Macaca fascicularis: one gene and its partners. The protein of the gene in region 3 binds, or shares a complex with, the protein of the main gene of each other region. Links are inferred from orthologs where the notes say so. Each region holds a gene or a part of one and is shown on either strand. Other genes may lie near its edges. The genes, in order: INSR, HRAS and GRB14.

Region 1 (3,563 bases), on a different chromosome or scaffold from region 3:
TTCTGCAGCAAGGGCAGTTTGGCAAGCTCAAATGACTAAGAGGGCTTTTCTTGGCCTCCCTGGGGAACCCATCCTTCACTCTCACTCAATGGTGAAGGCAAAGGAAGCTGTTGAATAGGGTACTGGTCACCCACAGGGAAGGGATGGTACTCACCATCACTGGCACTGAGATACTCAGGGTTTGAAGAAGCGTAAAGCGGTCCCAGCGGCCCATCTGGCTGCCTGGAGGAGAAAAATGAGGCACATTAGCTTGAGGTTCTCATGGGACTCTGCAGGTCTCCAGAAAGGGGTTTCATACAAGACTCCTCAAGGCAAATGGCAGCCCTTACCAGCAGAATCCCCATAATTCTAGATGCAGTCTAGGGCAGGGATGGGGGACCTTTATGTTTTGAATGGAAGCCCATCAGACAAGTACTTAAGTGCATCAACATGGCAGCAGCACTGATCCCTCCCCAGGTATTTATTTATTTTTTTTTTCACATTTCAGAGTTGGAGTCTTGCTGTGTTGTGGCTGGACGGCAGTGGTTTAATCATAGCTCACTGCAGTCTCGACCTTCTGGGCTCCAGAGATCCTCTCACCTCAGCTTTTTGAATAGCTGGGAATACAGGTGCTCACCACCACACCTGGCTGCTAATTTTTAAAATTTCGTAGAGACAGGGTCTCACTATGTTGCCCAGGCTGGTCTTGAACTCTTGGTCTCAAGTGATCCTCCTGCCTCATCCTTCTGAGTGGCTGGGATTACAGATGTGCACGACCATGCAGGGCTCTGGCTGGCTTTTATTATAATTTATGGCTGTCTATGTAACACTTAAAAGCCACTCACCCAGTACTGTTCTACAGCGAGCTCATCCCGACTGATGAGAAACAATTATTAAATTTTCAGGAAACGAGTGAGCCAGTTATTAAATACAAGCATCATTAAAGATTAAATTGTACAATGCCTTCCAAATAGAACAAAAAATGTAAATTATAGAGGCTTGCAATTAAATAAATTACCCTAAAAGCAAAGACAATACATGTTCAAAACTCATCACTTTCTAACTCTCATACTCCATTTTACTATGATCAATGCAGTTGAGGTTATTTACCTTATATCATTTATACACCATATTGTATCCATAGGGTGAATTCAATGGGGAGCTATCATGTGTCTCTTTCCGACACTGTGCTCAGTAATATTATGCCTACAGCCTGAAATTAGACATGCTGGGAATATTTACATTACAGAAACTGGCAAATGCTATAACTTGGGACTGGATTTGTTGTTCTGTTGTTTGTCCAGGCTTGAGGAATTGATGAGAAAAATGTTTTTTGTTTTGTTTTTGAGACAGAGTCTCGCTCTGTTGCCCAGGGTGGAGCGCAATGGTGTGATCTCAGCTCACTGCAACCTCTGCCTCCCGGGTTCAAGCGATTCTCCTGCCTCAGCCTCCTGAGGAGCTGGGATTACAGGCGTGCACCACCACACCCTGCTAATTTTTGTATTTTTAGTAGAGACGGGGTTTCACCATGTTGGTCAGGCTAGTCTCGAACTCTGACCTCATGATCCGCCCACCTCGGCCACCCAAAGTGCTGGGATTACAGGTGTGAGCCACCGCGCCCAGCCGAGAAAAATGTTTAATCATGTAGATTAAACTTAAAAGCATGTCATGTCTGCAACTGTGACATTGCGCATGGCACAAAACATTACGAAAATGTTCTTCTGGTATTTAAAAATTATCTGACTCAGCAAAGACATCACTCATATCACTGATGAACATATATGTCTTATTTCAGTTTTATCCTACTCTTTTTTTTTTTTTTTTCTGAGATGGAGTCTCACTCTGTTGCCCAGGCTGGAGTGCAATGGCGGGATCTTGGCTAGCTGCAACGTCCACCTCCAAGGTTCAAGTAATTCTCCTGTCTCAGCCTCCTGAGTAGCTGGGATTACAGGCGCCTACCACCACGCCCGGTTAATTTCTTAGTATTTTTAGTAGAGATGAGGTTTCACCATGTTGGCCAGGCTGATCTCAAACTCCTGACCTCAGGTGATTCACCCGCCTTGGCCTCCCAAAATGCTAGGATTACAGGCGTGAGCCACTGTGCCCAGCCATGTCCTACTCTTTAATGTAAATTTTGAAAAATTAATCAACATTCACATTGGAGCTATACTTGTTTAATTAATTGCAATAATAGGTTGGCTTCAGATATAAAGGTTTGGGCAAAAAAATTTAAAAAGTCAACAAAAACTTTCTGTGAGAATCAACTGGTTAGAGGGAATTTACAATAAAGAGTTGCATATGTCGTATTATGACAATTATCTGTAAATTGCACATTACACATCCTATATCAGTAAAATTCATAATAAACTTACATATACCTATACCTATATCGAGGCATAATTTCCCCCAGAGAACCAATGGTTCCCAGCACACCACTGAACTCACTCAACTCACCTCTTTCTCAGGAATAGATAAATACTTCCAATCACAATACTGAAGAGAAAGACAAAGATGAGGGGGCCGATGATAATTTTTGCAATATTTGACGGGACATCTACTGAAATAGAATAAGAAAATATATGTTTCATATCAATGTGTTCCCAAGAAAGTTAACACCAAAAATCACATCCACTCCTGGAATGGGTGGGCCACCCTGTTTCCTCCCTCCCTTGTCCATGAACTTCTCTGCTACTCTTCCATACCCTGATTTTTCCAGCAGTCCCACAACAGTCCCGTAGGTTCAGTAGGACCAGGCAGTGGGCTCAGAGGTCAGTATTCTGTTAGCACACTGTTCCCCACCCCCACTCCCAAATCACTGCTCATTTCCACCCCTCCCACATCTCAGGCAGTGGATGCAGGACGCCATACTGTCAGTTTAAGGCTCTGCTGCTGCCCCTCTGAAATGCTTATTCATTTTATTTTAATCTTTATTTAGTTACTTATTTTTGTGACGGAGTCTTGCTCTGACACCCAGGCTAGAGTTCAGTGGCACGATCTCGGCTCACTGGAACCTCCTCCTTCCAGGTTCAAGCGATTCTCCTGCCTCAGCTTCCTGAGTAGCTGGGATTACAGGTGTGCACCACCACGCCTGGCTAATTTTGTACTTTTAGTAGAGACAGGGTTTCACCTTGTTGGCCAGGCTGGTCTCAAACTCCTGACCTCAGGCGATCCTCCCACCTCAGCCTCCGAAAGTGCTGGGATGACAGGCGTGAGCCACTGCGCCCGGCCAAATTCTTAATAATTTTAAAGCGAGGAGCTCTGCATTTTCATTTTTCACTGGGTCTTGCAAATTATATAGCTAGTCTCGACCCCAGCGTGACTTCTGACAGACGTAAAATTCTTTTGATTTTTATGTTTTAGAGACAGGGTCTTGCTCTGTCACCCAGGCTGGAGTATAGTGGCACAATCACAGTTCACCGCAACCTCAAACTCCTGGGCCCAAGTGATCCTCCTGTCTCAGCCTCCTAAGTAGCTGGGATTACAGGCATGCACCACCACAGCTGGCTAATTTTTGTATCTTTTTGTGGAGACAGAGTCTCGCTATGTTACTCAGGCCGGTCTCTAATGCCTATCCTCAAGCAATC
Region 2 (3,997 bases), on a different chromosome or scaffold from region 3:
CCGGGCAGGCCAGTGCCAGCCTGCAGGCCCCGTGGCGCTGGTGCCTCCGACAAGTATTTGCTGAGCGCCTACTGCGTGCTAGGCGCCGCTGAGGGGAGGGCAGACCCGGGCAGCGCCCCGCGCCCCCGGCGGGGAACCGGGGGCATCTTTCAGCCACAGAAAGCTGGAAAAGACAGAGGGGCTCCTGGGAAGCAGGGGCTGAGCCACAGGAAGGGGCCGAGAGGCGGCGCGGGAGACCCGGAGAGGGGAAGGGCCCTGGGGCTGAGGCCCCCGGCCTCGTCCGCGACCTGTGATGCTGAATCGGGGGTGCCCGGGCGTGCCGTGGCCGCGGCCGCCTCCGCCCAGACGCGCCTGGTTATGAGGGCGCCGGGCCCGAGGCTCCCGGGGACGCCGGCGTGAGGACCGTGCCCAGAGCGAGGCCACGGGCGGGGCCCGGATTCCCGCAGGCCCCAGGGACTAAGGGGCCTCAGCCCGCCCCCGCCAGCCGCAGCCCCCGACGCCCGCTCACCTGTGCCTGGGGGCCCCGCCCGGCCCGGCCCGGCCCCACCCACCCACTACCGCCGCCGCAGCCGCTCACGCCCGCCGGTCCCGCGCCCCCGGCCCGCGCCGCGCGTATGGCTGCCGCCTGGGGGCGGGGAGGGCGCGCGGCCCGGCCGACCCCGGCCCGCACTCACCGCTCAGTGGCGCGACTGCCCCCGGGGCCGGGGCCGAGGCCAGGGGGGGGCGGGGGCGGGGGCGCGCGGTTCTCCCCGCGCATGGGCTCCGTCCGCGGCGGGTGCGGCTGGGGCTGCAGGCGCAGGGAGCGGGCGGCGGAGACTCGGCCGGGCTCGCGCACGCCCCACCCCGCGCCCGTCCGTCAGCCCTGCGCGACCTACCATTGGCCTCGCTACACCAGGCCCCGCCCCGCCCCGGTTGGCTGAGCGGCCCGTCTGTCAGGAGCCGCGGTCGGGCAGGGCTTCCGGGAGCAACGCGGGAGGCGGAGCCAGAAGGGCCGCGGCCTCGGGGGGTTGGGCTAGGCCGGCGAGCGGAGGCAAGCTCGGGGTTGCTCAAGGAGGGCGAGGGAGCAGGTGTCTGGGGGCCTGCGGCGGCATATCCGAGCAGGGCCGTGGACTCTCCCGGGAACAGGCCGGCGAGAGAACCCGACTCAGCGGCGCCCGTGCACTCGAGGCCCTCCCTGCGTCCGCAGCGCGGCGTCGCCCACCGCGGAGGTCCCGGGGCTCCGGCTGAGGAAAGGCTGGGATCCGTCGGGACCAAGGCGGGCCGCTCGGAGCTGGGGGCCCCCGGGTGGCCGCGGGGTCCGGTTGCCCGGCTCCCCTTCCGCGCAGGTGGAGTGGCCCCGCACCCGGACGGTGCGCACCCCGCCTCCTCCGCGCACCCCACCTACCACACGCACCCCAGCTCCCCTACTCCCACCTCAGCCCACCCCGAGGACGCCTTGCAGCTCCGGTGGGGTTTCGAGCGGCGGGCGCAGCCGTGCTCCCTGGGGCCAGGCGTGAGAACGCCCCCTCCACCACTTCTCTTACTTGGGCCTGCGTGGCAGGCGACCCTGCCCGCTCAGTCCCCCCAGACTTGAGGTTCCAACCATGCAGAAGCTCAGCGTGGTGCAGTTAAACGGTACCTACAGGTTGCCACAGGAGAGCGAAGTGCCCAGGGCTCACCCCAAGCACAAAGACCACATCCTAGCTCTTTCAAACCCCAAAAGACGTGTTTTTTTTTTTTTTTTTAACATTTTTTTAAATTGCAAAGGAATCAGAAATACATTCTCATTAAAAAGCAAAAGGGCCATCCTGGCTGACACGGTGAAACCCCGTCTCTACTAAAAAATACAAAAAACTAGCCGGGCGAGGTGGCGGGCGCCTGTAGTCCCAGCTACTTGGGAGGCTGAGGCAGGAGAATGGCGTGAACCCGGGAGGCGGAGCTTGCAGTGAGCTGAGATCCGGCCACTGCACTCCAGCCTGGGTGGCAGAGCGAGACTCCGTCTAAAAAAAAAAAAAAAAAAAAAAAAAAAAAAGCAAAAGGGGCCGGCCGCGGTGGCTCACGCCTATAATCCCAGCACTTTGGGAGGCCTAGGCCGGTGGATTACTTGAGGTCAGGAGTTCAAGACCGGCCTGGCCAACATGATGAAATCCCGTCTCTACTAAAAATGCAAAAAATTAGTCGGCTGCAGTGGCGCGAGCCTGTAGGCCCAACTACTCAGGAGGCTGAGGCAGGAGAATCGCTGGAACCCGGGTGGCGAATGTTGCGGTGAGCCGAGATCGCGCCACTGCACTCCGGCCTGGGTGACAGAGCGCAACTTCGTCTCAAAAAAAAGGCGTTTAAAAGAAAAAAAGGCGTTTTACGGTCAGGCAAACCCTGCCTCTGCCCAACCCAGTGCCCGCCCCGCCGCCACGCCCTCCTGCGCCGGTCGCCGCTGACCCGGGGCTCCACCCACGTGCGGTCCCGGGGGTCCCGCCTGCCGTCCATCCACCGCGCGGTCGCAGTCAGAGCCCGGCTCGGGGCGGACGCGCATGAACGCAGGTGAGAGGCGGCGACTGAACGGCGGGCGGCGGCGTGTCCCACGGGCCGGGCACTCGGGCGCGCTTCGGCATCCGGTCTGTGTTTCCTGGTCCTCCGGGGCGCTTGCCCCGGTGCTTCCTTTTGCTGTCGGCCTCACTTCCAATCGAAGGTCAGGGCGTCAGGCCTCGACCCCAGGGGCGACCCTTCCACGTGGGAAAGGTGGGCGGGAGCCTCCAGCAGAGACCGCCCTTGCCGGCCCCGCGTGGGAAGCGCCGGGATCGCGAGGAAACGCGACACGTGCACCGCGACGGCCCGGGCACGGAGCCGCAGGGAGCTGGCACCTGACGCGCCTGCGCCCACCCGACTTGGTGGCGCGTCACCTCCCCCGGGATCGCCCACCCAAGTGCCAACTCACGTGGCCCCGCCCTAGCGACCGTTGCTAAGGGGCGTGGCTCAGCCCCTCAGAACCCGAGCCTCCTGCGGCTTATAAATATTTGCGTATTCAAATGAGGACCCGCCCACGTTGCCATGGGACCCAGGCCGCAACCCCGCAGCCGGAAGAACAGCCTGGAGTAGGAGACAGCGCCTGGCGGCGGAGGGCGCCCAGGGCCGAGCTGCCAGGGCCGGACACCTGGGCTGAGCCCTCAGGTGAGAGCCGAGCGCACCCTTGGGGTGGGAGCCACAGGCCTCGCCGTATGCCTGGTGGCAGGAGGGAGCCTGCGCCGAGGCGAGGGCGCGGGGACTAAGCAGCACAGCCAACGGGGACCCAGTGGAGGCCCCGCACGTCAGATCTGGTCCCCTGGGGACCCTTGCCTCCACCACCCCCTGGCCCTGCACTGAAGGGGCTCCCTGTCAGGAGGCAGGAGGGGCCCCAAGCCTTGCCCCTGAGGGAGATGCAGAGGCAAGGACCCAGGGTGCTTGGAGTTCCAGGGTGGGGCTCAGCAGGGGAGCGGGCTCTGCCCTCCCAGCGTCCATGGTGAAGGGGCAAGGGCTGCAGGGGACCAGAGGTGATGAGCTACCCACCAGGGAATGGCACTAGCTGGGGTGTGGAGACAGAATTCCTCCAGTTTCCAATTTGGGGAGCATGGGGGCTCGCAGAGGGGACACAGGGTAGGAGCAGGACTGCGAAGTGTGCGGATGGGTTCAGGCCTGGGCGAGAACACCAGGAGCAGTGTCTGAGGTGGGAGTCCAGTGGGGGCTTGGGACTCCACAGCCTCCAACCCCTGGTCCTTGCACCCCTAGGCCTTGGGGCTCAGACCAGCCTGATACTCGGGCTCTTGGGCACAGAGGAGACAAGGGTGGCTGACTCAGCCCTTAGTGCCACCCATAGATGTCCTGGGGCTGCGCATGACCCGGCCAGCTCACGTACTCCATGAGGCTCAAGACTGGCAGGCCTGGGATGGAGGTGGCCAGAGTCTTTGGGGGAACGCAGTGGTGGGGTCCTGCTGTGAGGCCTGGGGCCTTCCACCATCTGGAGAAAGGCAGGCAGTGGGGGAGATTC
Region 3 (4,003 bases):
ATATTTCCTACTGTCTCTATCATTGCTGTATATGATCAAGAATTCATCTGCTTCCTAAGGTATTTCCTTCATTCCTAAAAATATAAACACACACAGTTGAACCCATCAGAGGTAATAACGGTGCAGAAATAAAAAAGAGAACAATAGATGCAGAAAAATGGCCAACTGTCTTGTCCTCTCTGTTCATTATCCTTCTCCCATTGCAAGCATCTGGCTATTTTAATTTACTGTTTCCACCCTTGTAAGAACAAGGTGCATTTTGTTTAGTGAGGCTTCTCTTTGTTTTGCTGGGTCAAAACTAGAAGAAAGTATATGACAAGAGATGAATTATTCTATGATATACTCATTATTTTCCCCTCCAAATGTATAGCCATGATGTATTTTCTGTTAGTTGCTTGGTCCTTAAAATCTAATTTGCTTAAGTCCGTCCCAAACTAGAAACTTGAAAAAAAGAAAATCATAAAAATATGGTCCTCAGTCTTCTAAGTATCACTTACAAGTCATCTATCTTCTGCAGCCAGAGTCTCCAAACTGAGGAATCTACTGAAATGAAGACATGTTGACCCTAAACTCTAAGTACCTTTTGCCACAGCATCACTCTATCACTTTCCTTTAGTAAATGAGGTTGGCTTGGGTTGGAAATGTGAAAAATTAAACGAAGTATTAAATGAATCAGTCAATCCCCTTCTCACCCCACTACCACTGCCCACCCCGCCGCAGCCTCTGCCCAATTCCTGGCTTAAAAATGATCATCTCTCCTACCTATCTTGTGAATGATCATTGCTGCCAACCACTGCACTTTATATATATCCTCTGTTTTAATCCATTCCAAGACCCTCGGAGGCAGGTTTGAACATTCCCATTATACAGCTTAAAAAAATGAGGCCCTAAATGGAAAATAATGCCAAAGGACCATGTCAGTCAACTGAGATATTTAACAGAGCCCATGCTAATCCTTTGTTAATACTGTGGATTACAGAACAATCTTAAAGACTGTATGGATTCAGAACTCCTAAGATATTTGAATTTTAAAATTTACAAATGCATACCTGTTTTTTCCTTGAATTTGCTTTGGGAAACAGGTCTGCTGACAACACAGATGTAAATGGAGAACAGCATAGCTCAGGAAAAGGGTTTGGAATAGATGGCATTTCCGGAACATCAAGATCTTTCTTTTTTCTCCTACAGTAAGAGAACATAGGATGTAATTTACATAAAACAGAATGTAAAATATAATTGCTGTCAGGATTAAAAAGTGTGCTAAGGCGAACATGTACCACTCTGTGACAAAGCTCATATTATATAAAGTATACAGAAAAGGTCTGTGATATACTTTCTATGGGTCAAAATATAGTATGTTAATTACATACAAACAAATCTCCTATAGTTCCTCTCTCTCTCTCTCTCTCTCTCTGTCTCTCTCTCTTCCCCCACCCCCTTCTTTCTCTCTCTCTTTTGCCTTTAAATCACCAGGCATAGAAACTCCATCACGTTTGATAATTTTCCTGAAACAGAGATATAGACTATACAATTACTAATCGAAACATCATCCTGAAGAGTCAGACATTGTTATGCATCCATGATATTGTCTCTAAGTTGCATTTAGTGCATTCGTCCTTATATTTTACTAATCACTTTGGGAAGTTATGATTTATTAATTATAGCTGTGGTTCATCTCACTTCAAATTTCATTCACAATGTTGCCCACACACAGTCTGTTGATTTTCAAGTGCTTATAGATATTAAATAGCAAGGTAGTGTTTTGGGGAGGTAAGTTAATAGAACTTGCTAATATAAATGTACTATAGTCCACTGGAGAGTAATTTTAACTTCACTGAAGTTGGAGTGCTTTGAAAATCAGGGAAAAAAGGTAACATTTAAATGTATCAATATAAAGGACTATAGATTTTTGTATTGTTGTAACCTTTTTTTTTCCCGAAAGTATGTGCAACCCTAAAGGCACTTAGTGTTGAATGCTATGGAGATTGGGAAACCCTTTAAAGCCTCTATTCTTTCCTGCTGAACAGCAAGACTGCTCAAATGTCAATCTATGCTTTGCTTCTACAGGGTCGCTCTAAGACTCTATGTGGGAGGTGAATACATTTATGCTACAATTTTCTAAAATATATAAAATAAAATAGAGTTTACTTTGTGAAAATGCAGGGCCACGAAGGAACAGAAGGTGATCAACCTGCAGCCTGACCTCCTAGTTTCACACCGATGGGCAGAGGCGAGAGAGATGAGAGCTCTCAATGAAACGGTGATGCTATTTATAAGGCGCTGTGAGATCGCAATGTCCTGCTGATCCAGTAGGAGCCAGCTCAAAGGGGATTGTCTTCAGAGACTTTTACAAACTTGGCCCAGCTCTGGGCACATGGCTCACCCCCTAGGACCGCCTCCTCACCCCGTCGCCTGCTGCCTAGCCAGGACACTCCCCCGCGCCCTCCAGGGTTGCCTACCTGTCTGCAGCACAGCCGCGGGTCCCGTCCGGAGGGGGCAGGAGCGCTCCCGCGTGCAGCCAGGGGCCCGGCGCCAGGTCGTGGGCGTCGCCCCTCCCCTGGGCAGCGCCGCACACCTGGGCGGCCAGCGGCGAATCCCGGGCAGCCGCCCTGCCCGCGGCGCTCTGCCCATCTTGCAGGGAAGTGGTCATTGTCGCCGGCCGGGGGGCTCGGGCGTCATGGGACACTCGGCGCGTGGGGAGAAGGGGACCGCGCGGCCGGAGGCGAGGTGCCGGCTAGGCAGCCCGAGCGCTCTGCAGGTGTGGTGGCCTCGCAGCCTGCGCTCGGAGCCCCGGCGGCTGAGACACGCTGCCGAGCAATCTGCGAGGCGGCGGGGGAGGGGAGGGGGCGGAGGAGGAGGGTGGGGAGAGGGGAGGAGCGGCCGGTGGGTGGGGGCCGCGGGCGGCGGGGCGAGCCGCGGAGGGGGCTGGGAGGGCGCGAGAGCGTCCGGCCGGCACCGCGCGTGGCCCGGGGCGCTCGGGGCCGCTGGCATCGCTCCCGCGCCGTCCGATCCGGGACGCGAGGCCGGGACAGTCGCCTCCCCAGGTGGGCACCGGGGCGCAAGACTGAGCCCAGGGTCTGGGCGGCCCGGCGCCGCTGGAGGCGGAGACCCAGCAGAGCGGGCTCTCCCCCTGGGCTTGCCGGGAGGACCGCAGGCGGGACAGGGGTCTGCGCAGCCCTGACCCTCATACCCTTGCATTCTTCCTGCTCTGCCATCTGAGATCACCTAAGCTGTTGCTGGGCCGCCATGACAGTCCCTACCGGGCCAGGAGGGCAGGAGGCCAGGGCACCAGGGGGCTGGGTTTGCCCCAGTCCTTCCCCACGTGCCTCTTCTTCCATGCACTTCGCAGCCAAAGATTGGGGGGTTGGTGGGGAGCAAAGAGTCCAATCATTATAGAAAACTACTGAGATTCTGAGAATTCTCAGTAAAGCATGAGTAAACCCCTAGCTGTCTGGAATTAGAAAGACTATTCGTTTTATGGTAATGAGAGAAGCTTACATTAATGAATTCCAGGTTGCCTTACGCTACCTATTCCATCCCCTCAACAGCTCCATAAATTAGATGTTTATCTCATTTTACACAAAAGGAAACTGGGGCTCAAAGCCATCGAGTACCTTGCACTAGTAACATAGCACTAGTAGCTGGTGCAGTCAATATTCCAACCCAGAAACTTCTCAAAAACCCAGACTGTTTGAAATAGTAATGGCATTATCATGCTCACCCTCTGAGATGCAGCAGCCCTACTCTGAAATGCTGGGTGATCCTGTTTCTGCTCTTCCGGTGAGTGTGGCCGTCCCTATGCACTGCTGAGGATTTCCAAATGTTTCACAGGGTCTTTGTTCTTTGACCAAATTGGGTAATATCTGTCCCTGGCATCTGCTTTACCAGGTTTTCTTAATTTCAACAACCTCTGCCCAGGGAAAGGTAAACATTGCCTCCAGAAGAAAGTAGCAGCCCCCCTCCCCCATCTCAGTGCATCCTCGCCCACCGAGGCACCGACCAC

Evidence for each region.
Region 1: the proteins of GRB14 (region 3) and INSR are in contact, whole or in part, in a crystal structure (PDB 2AUH), measured with the Homo sapiens proteins. The link is inferred for Macaca fascicularis from reciprocal best matches to the Homo sapiens genes GRB14 and INSR. Residues at the interface, in NP_004481.2 of Homo sapiens: Glu373, Asn374, Ser375, Leu376, Val377, Ala378, Met379, Asp380, Phe381, Ser382, Ser386, Val388, Ile389, Glu394, Val398, Ala399, Glu401, Glu402, Gly403, Leu404, Trp406, Arg407; in NP_000199.2 of Homo sapiens: Leu1065, Arg1066, Ile1069, Glu1070, Lys1112, Arg1116, Arg1163, Met1180, Arg1182, Tyr1190, Lys1192, Gly1193, Gly1194, Lys1195, Gly1196, Leu1197, Leu1198, Pro1199, Val1200, Trp1202, Ser1207, Leu1208, Lys1209, Asp1210, Gly1211, Gln1235, Asn1242, Glu1243, Leu1246.
Region 2: the proteins of GRB14 (region 3) and HRAS are in contact, whole or in part, in a crystal structure (PDB 4K81), measured with the Homo sapiens proteins. The link is inferred for Macaca fascicularis from reciprocal best matches to the Homo sapiens genes GRB14 and HRAS. Residues at the interface, in NP_004481.2 of Homo sapiens: Val109, Lys111, Asp116, Glu117, Thr118, Ser119, Arg120, Ala121, Leu122, Asp123, Lys140, His142; in NP_001123914.1 of Homo sapiens: Glu31, Asp33, Pro34, Ile36, Glu37, Asp38, Ser39, Tyr40, Arg41, Tyr64, Met67.

The regions. Positions count from the first base shown.
Region 1 is NC_088393.1:7,851,005-7,854,567, forward strand, and holds part of INSR (insulin receptor), read right to left. Parts: intron 2,537-3,563; coding exon 2,434-2,536; intron 223-2,433; coding exon 155-222; intron 1-154. UniProt on the Homo sapiens protein: Receptor tyrosine kinase which mediates the pleiotropic actions of insulin.
Region 2 is NC_088388.1:433,452-437,448, forward strand, and holds the start of HRAS (GTPase HRas), read right to left. Parts: upstream 2,849-3,997; 5' UTR 2,432-2,848; exon of another isoform or gene 2,416-2,431; intron 820-2,415; exon of another isoform or gene 675-819; intron 1-674. UniProt on the Homo sapiens protein: Involved in the activation of Ras protein signal transduction. Ras proteins bind GDP/GTP and possess intrinsic GTPase activity.
Region 3 is NC_088386.1:60,172,637-60,176,639, forward strand, and holds the start of GRB14 (growth factor receptor-bound protein 14), read right to left. Parts: upstream 2,824-4,003; 5' UTR 2,651-2,823; coding exon 2,460-2,650; intron 1,183-2,459; coding exon 1,050-1,182; intron 1-1,049. UniProt on the Homo sapiens protein: Adapter protein which modulates coupling of cell surface receptor kinases with specific signaling pathways. Binds to, and suppresses signals from, the activated insulin receptor (INSR). Potent inhibitor of insulin-stimulated MAPK3 phosphorylation.